Linked DNA regions of Caenorhabditis elegans. The protein of the gene in region 2 interacts with the protein of the main gene of each other region in a biochemical or structural test. Each region holds a gene or a part of one and is shown on either strand. Other genes may lie near its edges.

What was found.
Region 1: of the proteins of ubc-12 (region 2) and ned-8, one has a biochemical effect on the other in vitro, tested with the Caenorhabditis elegans proteins (one study listed by BioGRID).

Annotation. Positions count from the first base shown.
Region 1 is NC_003279.8:10,371,178-10,376,760, forward strand, and holds ned-8 (Ubiquitin-like protein NEDD8), read right to left. Parts: upstream 2,686-5,583; 5' UTR 2,683-2,685; coding exon 2,596-2,682; intron 2,528-2,595; coding exon 2,381-2,527; 3' UTR 2,196-2,380; downstream 1-2,195. Other genes in the region: sptf-1 (Specificity protein transcription factor 1), read left to right, coding at 1-113, 324-350; hpo-35 (PB1 domain-containing protein), read left to right, coding at 3,637-3,720, 3,774-3,833, 3,880-3,979, 4,209-4,303, 4,359-4,767, 4,815-5,065, 5,478-5,543. UniProt on the Caenorhabditis elegans protein: Ubiquitin-like protein which plays an important role in cell cycle control and embryogenesis. Covalent attachment to its substrates requires prior activation by the E1 complex uba-3-ula-1 and linkage to the E2 enzyme ubc-12.
Region 2 is NC_003279.8:11,907,425-11,913,371, reverse strand, and holds ubc-12 (NEDD8-conjugating enzyme ubc-12), read right to left. Parts: upstream 2,053-5,947; 5' UTR 2,046-2,052; coding exon 1,952-2,045; intron 1,906-1,951; coding exon 1,457-1,905; 3' UTR 1,319-1,456; downstream 1-1,318. Other genes in the region: hda-3 (Histone deacetylase), read left to right, coding at 1-247; mag-1 (Protein mago nashi homolog), read left to right, coding at 696-755, 827-1,225; rbm-3.2 (RRM domain-containing protein), read left to right, coding at 2,416-2,437, 2,631-2,709, 2,795-2,951; rbm-3.1 (RRM domain-containing protein), read left to right, coding at 3,398-3,422, 3,641-3,719, 3,775-3,922; exo-3 (exodeoxyribonuclease III), read left to right, coding at 4,166-4,414, 4,744-5,070, 5,131-5,346, 5,654-5,728. UniProt on the Caenorhabditis elegans protein: Accepts the ubiquitin-like protein NEDD8 from the uba-3-ula-1 E1 complex and catalyzes its covalent attachment to other proteins. Plays a role in male tail tip morphogenesis.

The sequences.
Region 1 (5,583 bases), 1.5 Mb from region 2:
CAGCACGTAAGCGAGGAGTTCATAATTGTCATATTGCTGGATGTGGAAAAGTTTATAATAAGAGCAGTCACTTGAAAGCACATTTAAGATGGCATTCTGGTGAACGTCAAATGGTAAGGAAGCCCGTATAATCAGGAGATTGTATCCGAAGATTGTCAAGGAATTGAAGGTGAACTCGCATTAGCTTGTAGAGTGATTGTTTTTTTTTGTAATTATTATATTTGAATCTTTTCCTAATCCAGTTTATTATCATTGTCCAATGCGTTGCGTCATTCACAACCAAAAATTAATCTGGCAATTATCATAATTCTGTTTTTTTTAAGAAGAAACGCTCCGGTGACAGCTCATGACTACATCGTCCATGTTTCCGTATCTCTTCACATATCTCATTCAAAATAAATTAACTTTCTTTATTTGATATTTCTATTTTATTTCCTCTTGATCTTCTCTCTTCTGTCTCTGGTCTATTGTGAATATATTTTTCCATCCTGTCTGAAATAAACAATTGTGGTCTAAAATATATAGAATTCATCCATTTACATGCAATATAACTGCCGTATTTTGTCTATTGGTATGGCTGCAATACAATTTTTCAGAAATCTTCACGACATACCAATAAGCAAGACCGGGGTATTTTATTTCAAAATTCTATTTTACGAAGGCTATCCTCAGGTTATGCAGTTCTTTCGATTTACCAATGAAATGAAAATTTTAGAAAACATATTTTCGTCATCATAGTTCTGAGTTTAAGTGATCTGAACGAGAGCCGATATGGCTGATATGGCACCATCTTATATGGATACATTTTCGATTTGCACTTAATATAACAACCGTATTTCTTCTATGATTGTTATACTATTTGTGTTGGGCTTATTAATTTTTACTTGAAAGAACTCAATTTTTCATTTGGAGATGTTAACATTTTGATCATAACTGTAACAAAAAGTTCAATAACTTCAATTTTTATAAACTTGAGAAAATTGTTTAAAAACAGGAAACAAAAATCTCGGTAACTCTTAAAAATTAGTGAAGCGGGATTGCACCAAACAAAAAATTAAACGCAAGATTATTAAGGAGTACAGTACTAATTTTCGGAAGATGTTTAAGATAATATGGTAAATTGGAAAAAATACGGTAAATATTTTATAGAAAAAAGATGAATGCAAGGGGAAACAGATGGGAGTGAGGAGATGATATTACGATTTACAAAAATGGGAATGGTATTTTACACGAATTTTGGAACTGGGGAAAACAGATGTCGTGCAATATGTGTTAGGTATGAACAAGATTAGAAAACACTAACACATTATTAGAATGGCATGCTGCTTTTTTCGATCACTTTCATGAATGACATCGACGCTTCATTTACGCATTGTGGACGGAGATTGTAAAATTGGGATATTAAATTGTTTGCATTGTGAAGGTGAAGAAACCATCCATGGATTCAACGACGTTACACTCTGCCTTAATTCCATCAATACGAGTTATTTCGAACTTTTGTGGTCCAATTTTATGCTTAGGTAGATTCATAATAATAGGCAAGTCACTGATGTCTGGATGTTCAAACTTAAGATATTGAAGCATACAATTCGAGTAACAAGACATCCAGTGACGGATAAATATATTCCAATCTTTTGCGCTCATATTCGAATGAAAAACTGTGATTTTGAGACAATCAAAATTGAGAAGAAAGTACAACCAGCGTTACCAAACTTTTTTGCTCGCGATGAGACCCATCTATTACGGGAACACGAAATTCTGAGAATGCGTATTGAACAACATATTTGACGCGCAAAATATCTCGTAGCGAAAACTACAGTAATTCTTTGAATTACTACTGTAGCGCTTGTGTCGATTTACGGGCTCGATTTTCGAAATGAATTTCTCCGTATTATTTTTTTCATTTTTTTATTCTAATATTTTATCGATTAATAAATGATTTCCGTAAATCGTCAGCAGTGCTACAGTACTCATTTGTTGCGTAATACGAATTCTCAGGATTTTTTGTTACCATAGTGTTATTTTCATCAATTTCTTTCTAATAAATGAAAAACATTTTTAAGAGTTACCGAGATTTTTTTTAATATTCCTTTTCAATGAGGAGAAAATTGTCAATGAGAAGCACTAATTGTTTCGCCGTTGCGTTCAGGGCAGGACTGCTTTTAATTTTAAAATAATAGCATCACGAGATCAAGAATGCATTATTTATTTGAACACAGAAAATAAAATGAGGAATATGATTTAAAGAACTGATGTAACAATAAATATTGAAAGTTGGAGAGATTGGACATAAAAACGGGACATTCGGGACTGTGACTCGTTTCTATTTGGAGCGGGCTCAATTCAGACGGGAGTTTACATTTTATATGAATACATTTTCTTAAAATCCTCCGCGGAGAGCAAGAACCAGATGAAGAACAGATCCACCGAGAACCTTGTAATCTGCTGCTGTCTTGTCGTCGTTCATTTGCTTTCCGGCGAAAATGAGACGCTGTTGGGGTGGTGGGATTCCTTCTTTTTCTTCGACCTGCAAAATAATTTTCGTTGGATATTTCGAGATAAAATTTAGCTAAAATGGAAGTTAAAGTATGTTACCTTTTCTTTGATTCTCTCGACTCGATCATTTGGTTCGATGTCCAGCTCAATTTCCTTTCCAGTCAAGGTTTTAACTTTGATGAGCATTTTCTGTAAACTGAGACGATAAATAGCGAATATTAGGTGAAAATTAACATAAAATTTTCAAAATACTGCGTTAACAGATAAAAAGTGATTCAAAAACAATGGATTTAACTCTAAACTTGAAAAAAAGAACAAAATTCGAAGAATGATGAGAGGGGTCCGGTAGAGCGCATTTGGAACGCGAGAACGAACGAGAGAGCATGAGAATATGAGAGACGCAGCAGCTTACTACGCAGTTATTTTTTGTTAATATTTATTTTTGTTTTTATAATATTATTTTCATTTTTAATTTCAGTCTTAGTCCGAAATCTATTTTGTTTGAAGTATTAAAAGTTCTCATAGCTATGAAATATATTATTGAGAAAAGAAGAAGAAAAATTCAAGAAATGAGATAGAAAATTGCTCACCGTTCGTCAAGACGAAAGAAAAGCGAATGAAGTACCTTTCTCGAACAAATGCGCTCAGCGTATCAAGAACAAATCGATTTCTTACAAATACTGCGCGTTCTGATCTCCTAGGAAGTTCAGTTAGGTTCATCCTAAACACTAGTTATCGATTTTCATATTTCCTACTGGTCGAATGTGATATAATAATGAAAATTAAACAGATTTGTGGATAGGAGAATTAAAATATCATTCATGAATCACGGAACACTATTTAGAAATTATATTTACATTACTCAAAAAATTGGGGTGAAATAGAACAAAACACAAACCCAAACATGAAATTAAATAAATTATTTCACCATTCATAACGGCCATCATAACTACTATTATAAGCCCATTAATGAGCACTCATTGAGCAGAAAATAAATAGACATTGGCCTTGTGGCCGAACTTGCACTCTTCCATAAAGCGTTCCAAAGAGCCTTCGATTTTCTTGCTTAAATGACATTTCTCTATCCTTTTCATAAATTGAAATTAATGCTTCCACTTAATAAACTAAATTTCAGCCGAAATGCCTACTATGGTAATGTCACAACTGCCTAAATCATCAGGCAATGCGCGAAAACGTCAAAAGAACAAAAACGACCACATTGTCGTAAGTATTTCTGAAGATTTCGAGTCCAACAACATTAAAATCAACCCTTTCAGGCAATCAGCTACATGTACGTTGGAACTCCAAAGAAAAAGTTCACCTTCTATGTTCGAGAAGTAAATTAAATATCTGATAGTTCAAGATTTATTCATTTCTTTTCAGAGAATGTTGTATCGTTCGAATGTGGAAGTTACATACGAGGATGTATACAACTATTTGGCTACAATTTCCAACGACGAAACTGTTTCTTTGCATTATTCTGGTAATTTTCTCAAAAAAATCCCATTTCGGAGCGAATTTTCAGACAAAAATTCGAAGTTAAAGTTTCTCATAGTTTTGTAGAAGTTTTAATCGAAAATTTATATAGAAAGATAGAAAAGTACTTCAACTGTTGTTTGCAAATTTTGAGAAACTGCAGCTTTCAGGCAGTATTCGAGGTCCCTTTTGTTTCTGAATAAATTTTTTTCTTTGTAAAGCTAGACAATTTTCAGTCAATGGTTTGTACGTGCCAATCACAACTACTGGACAGCTTCACACATTTATTCGCCATGTTCATAATGATCCTACTGCATTTCTGTACGTAGAGGTAAAAGTTTCAAATCTATCAGAATGTAATCTAATTTAATTTTTTTAAATTTCAGAATCAAGATTACGTATGGAATGTTACGCCACAGAGCAAAAGCCACAAAATGGAGAAGCGAGTTCCAAATGGAGGAGCTACTCCGATAGATGGAGACTCTGAACAGTATGATTCAACGGAGGACGAAGAAGTGTCTCATGTTGAAGATGAAAATTGTGATTCTGAAGAAATTAGTCAGGACGAGGAAGAATATGAAGATGAAGAAGGTGAAGAATATGACGATGATGATGAATCTCGAATTGCGCCAATTCTAACTGATTATACAGCTCCAATGATTGTTAGCGACAAGATACCATTGAAAGAAGCTTTTGTAGAGCCCAAACCACGTGGTCAAACCGGTCAGCAACAGGATACAGAGGTGAAACATCGATTGATACGTATTGGAGATCCACTCGCTTCACCTGCTAAAAGTATAGTAAATACTGAAATTTAAAAAATATTTTTTGTCCATTTTCAGAATCCCCACTTTCCAACCGTCAATGGACAGAATCACAAGCATACCATCACGTTAAAAATATTCTATCTGATACTTTATCCAAAAAGTCGATGGATTCAGCTCCAACACTGATAGCCGAACAACTCGTTCGAGACGTCTGGAATCCCTCATTCCCATATAATGAGAAAGTACACGAAGATACTGTGGCTCTTCTCGCTCATAGTCTGGGAACCGGTCTTCTCCATTATTATAATAGAATTTTGTCGAGATATGTAAGAATTTGTTGTCTGATATTACCAAGACATGAGATTGTACACTTTAAAAAATGCGGGACCCGGTCTCGCCAAGCGACATGCGCCTTTAAAGAGTACTGTAAATTCAAACATTCAATTTCCATAGATTTTCATTTAAAAATAATTGATTTATTGAAATCCCAAAATAAAACAATTAAAACACAAATTTCAATAAATCATTTTTTTTAAACTATAAAAAGTCTATACAAATTTGAAGTCACAGTACTCTTTAAAGGCGCACACCTTTTTGAGGTTAACGAAAATTTGTCTTGGCGAGACCGAGTACCATATTTTAAGCTTAGACATTGCAAAATTTCGTGTCGGGGTAATATATATATATATATATATAATGTTTTTGAAACAGAGATAGTTAAAGTTGAATCCTTTTCAGGCTCCCTGTGATATTTCTTCCGATTATTCGCCGCGAATGGAAAAACTTTTGAAGGAAGAACTCATGGTAATTCAATCTTCAAAAAAAAACAAATTCAAAGCACTTT
Region 2 (5,947 bases):
TTCGACGAGTTGTGACTCAATTGTGAAGACTTTTGACGAGAAACTGATCCGAGATCATCAGAATGATGACGTCAGAGTTACTCAGTTCGAGGAAGACGTTCAGGTGGAAGATTCGGCGGAATTCTACGATGGTCAAGAGCCGGAGACGAAGAATATTCAATCGATGAAACGGCACGCGAGTCCGATTTGTGCGGCGCAAGAGGAGATGAAGAAAAATCGGATTGATGGCGGCGAAAATGTGGCATAATTTGGTTTTAACTTGATTTTCTGTATGCACTAACTTTGTATTTATATCGTCTCTTCAAACTATTTCTTTAATTTATACGAATCTCAACTTCTCTAAACCTCTATTGATCCTCAAATCTATTTAAATCTTTCGTTAAATCGACAATTAAAAAATTTCCGTCGTCAAGTGTGGTGCCGGTGGTGCATACACCGCCGCGCACAAATGCACAGATTTCGGCGTTTTCGAATTTTTATCGGATTTCTTTTCTCTATATTTTAAAGGATATTTTCTATCGTTTCTTGTCTAAAAACACAGTTTTTATCGAATTTATCACAATATAAACCTATTTATCATCTTTCTTTTGTGAATTTTCACTGAAAAATCAGGTTTTTTTACCTTGAAATTCTAATTTTCACCCGGTTTTATTTAATGGATGTTTGGATTTTCTCAATTCCTATTTATTTTCAGAATGAGCGGCGAAGAAGAGAAGGCAGCGGACTTTTACGTTCGTTACTACGTTGGACACAAGGTAGGTCTTGGAAAATCTTGGAAAAATGACAATTTTCGCCAATTTAAATTAGTTTACGAAACAATTTTCAGGGAAAATTCGGTCACGAATTTCTCGAATTCGAATTCCGTCCAAACGGATCGCTTCGCTACGCGAACAACTCCAACTACAAGAATGACACGATGATCCGCAAAGAGGCGACAGTGTCGGAATCGGTGCTCAGCGAGCTCAAGCGTATCATCGAAGACTCGGAAATCATGCAGGAGGACGATGACAATTGGCCAGAACCAGACAAGATTGGACGCCAGGAGCTGGAAATTCTGTACAAAAACGAGCACATCTCGTTTACGACCGGCAAAATCGGAGCTCTAGCCGATGTGAACAACTCGAAAGATCCGGATGGTCTCCGCTCGTTCTACTATCTCGTTCAGGATCTCAAGTGCCTCGTCTTCTCGCTCATTGGCCTTCACTTCAAGATCAAGCCAATCTAATTTAATTCCTTCAGACTCTGTTCTATTTTATCCACCAAATCTCTTTAACTTGTTTAATTTATTCGATTTTCTCTTCTCTTCTTAAGTTCTCAAATTTCTCAAGAATAAATTTTATTTCTTTCAAAAAGTACAGTTAGAAAAAGTCTGAGAGGTGGGGGAAAAGTTAGAATCAAAATCAATTTCATAGGGGGGGTCAATTCACAGGCCATTTGTAATCCGATCCGTTGGTCCTTAGCAATATCTAGAAATGTATTCCCGAACACGATGATTGAACGATTCGCGATTCTGACTCCACATCTGGGCGGCTTGAATGTTCAGCGCGTCGTTGAAGTCCATAAGATCGTTGAACAGTGAGACGAGTCCGTGGACGACGTCGGTGAGGTTACGCGTTGGACGCCATCCGTATTGATCCAACGAGTTTTGACGCAAAATCGATAGACAAATCGATCCGTCCTCGTTGATATTTGGATGCCAAACCTTTGTCAGGCACTTAACAACGGGCGGCACGTTGTTGTACTCTGGCGGGACGGTGATCTTGAATCGGAATTTGCCTCCACGATAGATTCCTTCTTGAGGTGTCACGGTGAGTTCCAACTCATGAAGACACGATGTTGATGGGACCTCGAGATGCCACAGCTTTTGCTTCTGATCGCGAAGAGCAGTCTCCAGCTGTTGGAGTTCTGAAAATGTTGTAAAATCAAAATTTTTTATAAAGCAGCCACATACCCTGAGCTAGGAGCTTGTCACGGACGGCGATGCGGGTTTCAAGATACCGACCGTCCTCGTTGTTGCCGTTGATTCGTTTTTGAAGATTGAACATTCTGAAAGCGAAAAATTAAGAAATACGATAATTTTCAGCGATATAGGCGGCGCATACGGAAACATAGAGAAAATAATCGTTTTTTTGGCAAAATTACAGTGTAAAAGGGTCAAAAATCGATGAAAATCTTGTAATTCAGCGAAAAAACGACAAATTACGTGAGAAAATGAAACAATTGCTATGAAAAATGACAGAGAATGAGGAATAAAAGACGCAGCGTTTGCTAACGCTGAAATGACTAAAGGGGGCGGAGCGCGAACGCAAGGCTGGCACACTTTTACCGCAAGTGCCGCACGGTTTCCCACGAGTCGGAGGAGGCAAGCGAAAACGATTCGAATCACACATATTTACGCTCCGGCCTAAAATCGTCATGTCTGGATTCTCTGTTTACGGTTAGTTTTGTTAATTGTAAATTATTCAAGTAGAAAACTGGAATATTCAGCTTTAAAAGCAGATTTTAATCGAGAAAAGCCGAATTTAAAGTCTGGCCTAAAATTTTTATTTTTCTCCAGGCGTTTTTCTATTTATTGTATTTGATTAGGCTGAGATAATTTGAGTTTTTAATAATTTTAATGCATTTTTCAGTCGGAAACGCTCCATTCCAAACTACCGAGGACGACCTTGGCAACTACTTCAGCCAGGCTGGAAACGTCAGCAACGTCAGGTAAGCTTCTCTCCCCGAAATCTCCTCTTCCCGAAACCTCCTGAACGACGACCCGTTAACTCTCAATATGAATCTCTATTTTCAGAATCGTTTGCGACCGCGAGACCGGACGTCCACGTGGATTCGCCTTCGTCGAGTTCACCGAGGAGGCCGCTGCCCAGAGAGCCGTCGACCAATTCAACGGAGTCGATTTCAACGGAAGAGCTCTACGCGTCAACTTGGCTCAAAACAGAAACAACTAATTTTCATATCGGTACTTTGTTACTTGTTTGATCTTTAATGATCTCAATAATAATAAACCCATGAAATCGTTATCATAAATATATATGCTCTATTTTTTTATTTCGAATCTTCATTTGGGGTCAATCTGATGGCAAGCGTTGAGGCTAGAAGCTTGAAGGAACGGCTTCGGTTCGAGCAAGTTTTGAATCCTGGGCTATGCGCAGCCCAATGTGAGCTTACAACTGAAAATTCAAGTTTCAACACTCTTCGCGGTCTTATTTTGGACTAATTCCTCATATTTTCAGCTTGAAATGGAAAAAATCTGTCGAAATCGATGCTATTCGAGGGGCGGGGCCAAAACGCAACCCTGGCACGGTTTTTACGCAACTGCCGCACGTTTTCTCCAAGGCAGGGTGAGCGGAAAAATTAAACCGTCATAAATTTTCTGCTACGGCCTAAAATCGTCATGTCTGGAATCTTCTCTGTTTACGGTTAGTTTTTTAATAATTTATTTTAAGTATTAAACAATCGGAAACTGGTTAAAATAGCCAATAAAACTCGATATTGTCCTGAAATTTTGGGATTTTTCGGAAAAATCGAATTCGCGAAGTTTTCCCTAATATTTTCATTTGAAAAGGCAATTTTAAGTGTTTAGATTCAAATTTGGTTGCGAAATATTTAAATCAATTAAAATTTTCCTTTTTTTTAGTTGGAAACGCTCCATTCCAGACCACCGAGGAGGAGCTTGGAAACTTCTTCAGCAGCATCGGACAAATCAACAACGTCAGGTAACTCTCCCAGCCAGCCCGAGCTTCATGATTTCTAACGCAATATCTCTTTCAGAATCGTCTGTGATCGCGAAACCGGACGTCCACGTGGATTCGCCTTCATCGAGTTCGCCGAGGAAGGATCCGCACAGAGAGCCGTCGAGCAGATGAATGGAGCCGAGTTCAATGGAAGACCACTCCGCGTCAACCTCGCCAACAAATAAGTTGATCTTCATATCGGGTTTTTGTTACTTTTTTGCTCTTCACTGATCTCATTATTAATAACAATCCAATGAAACTATCGATTTAATTATTTAATTCAATTTCAACTATTCTCTAACTAATCTGTTCAACATTCGGGGAAGTTTCTCTATTTGTCATCCTTCCATCCGCCGACCTGATTCAACTTTCTTCTTCCCCAGCTGCTCCGTTCAAGAGCCTACTCGACTACTAACCTGTTGCTGAAAATGTCGAAGCGAAAAGCAGAAGAAGCACCAGCACCAAAGCTCGCCTCGATCTTCACAAAGAAGGTGAAGCCGGCAGAAGAGGACAATAATCAGAAAAGCTGGAAGTTTGTGTGCTGGAACGTGGCAGGGCTCAGAGCTTGTGTGAAGAAAAGTGATTTTAAGGAAGTGCTCGCCGAGGAGCCTGACCTCGTTTTTCTAGGAGAGACCAAGTGTAAGGAGTGGCCCCCGGAGATGGAGGAGACGTTTAAGGTAAGGAATTCCTGGAAGAAAAGAGATTTTTCGCATATTTTACGGCCGGGTTTCATCAAAAATATGTTTATTAACACATTTTAAACGAAAAAACGTAGAAATTTCCATTAAATCCAAGCGGAAATTCACTATTTTTCCTGAAATCTACAAAGAAAATCGCAATTCAAAAGAAATTTGCATAAAAATAACATTTAAAAGTCAAAATTCTACCAGATTTCCATTTAAATAGGGATATTATGTGCTTTTTAAAAATATTTTGAATGAAATTTTAGCAGAAAAATGCGAGAAAATGGCTGAAAAAGCGATTTTCAAAGCTAATTTTTTTCCAGAACTACACCAAAACCCTCGTCGTCTCCACAGAGAAGAACGGTGGCTACGCAGGAGTCGGGCTGCTCAGCAAATGTGCTCCGATGAAGGTTCACAAAGGAATCGGTGACCCAGAATTCGACACTGCCGGACGTCTGATCATCGCCGAGTTCTCCAAGTTTTACTTTATCGGAGCTTACGTTCCAAATTCGGGCGCGAAGCTGGTGAATTTGGAGAAACGAGGACGCTGGGAGAAGCTGCTGACCGAGAAGATGAAGGAGATGGACGAGAAGAAGCCAGTGATCTACGGGGGTGATTTGAATGTTGCACATAATGAAATTGATCTGAAAGTAAATATATTGTATTAAATTTGTTTTAAAAATTATAAATTAACTCCCTGATCCTTTCAGAATCCAGAATCAAATCGAAATAAAACCGCGGGATTCACAGATCAAGAACGTGGATGGTTCAGTGAGATGCTCGAGTTGGGATTCACCGACACCTTCAGAGCCATGCATCCCGACGAGAAGAAGTACTCATTTTGGAGTTATCTGGCGAATTCTCGGCAGAAAGATGTTGGATGGAGATTGGATTATTATGTTGTCAGCAATCGAATTATGAATAAGGTCTCGTCTGGAAGCTGTGGAAAATTGAAAAAATGGGCAAAAAATGCAATATGTCTGGGATTTTTTCCCGTAAAATCCCGGTGGATACCGAAATTTTGATGGAATTTGCCATAAAAATTTGATTTTCCAAAAAAATTTAGACAAAATCCACCGGGGAATTGAAATTTTTCAGAAGATTTCCATGAAATCCACTTAAAAATTTAGAATTTTACTGAAATTTCGACGTAATCCAAGTGGAAATTCAATTTTTCCACTGGAATTTTGATAAAATCCAAATTAAAATTCAATTTTAATGTTCTTTTTTCAGGTCAAACGCAGTGATATCATGAGCTCGGTGATGGGAAGCGACCATGCTCCGGTCGTCATGCAAATCGACTTCTAAATTGCTTCTGATTATTTTATTTTGTGAATATTGCTTTAAAACTTGTATTTTTGATGAATCTCGACTAATTTTTAAATTTAGAAAGTCTGAAAAAAAAAAACAAATTCATCAACAAGTAACAATGTTTAACAGAATTTCAAAAAATGGAAACAACACGAGATCACTGTTCTTTTTTAATTTCCAAATAGCCAAAGGTGAGCCTAATTTTGAAGCGTGACG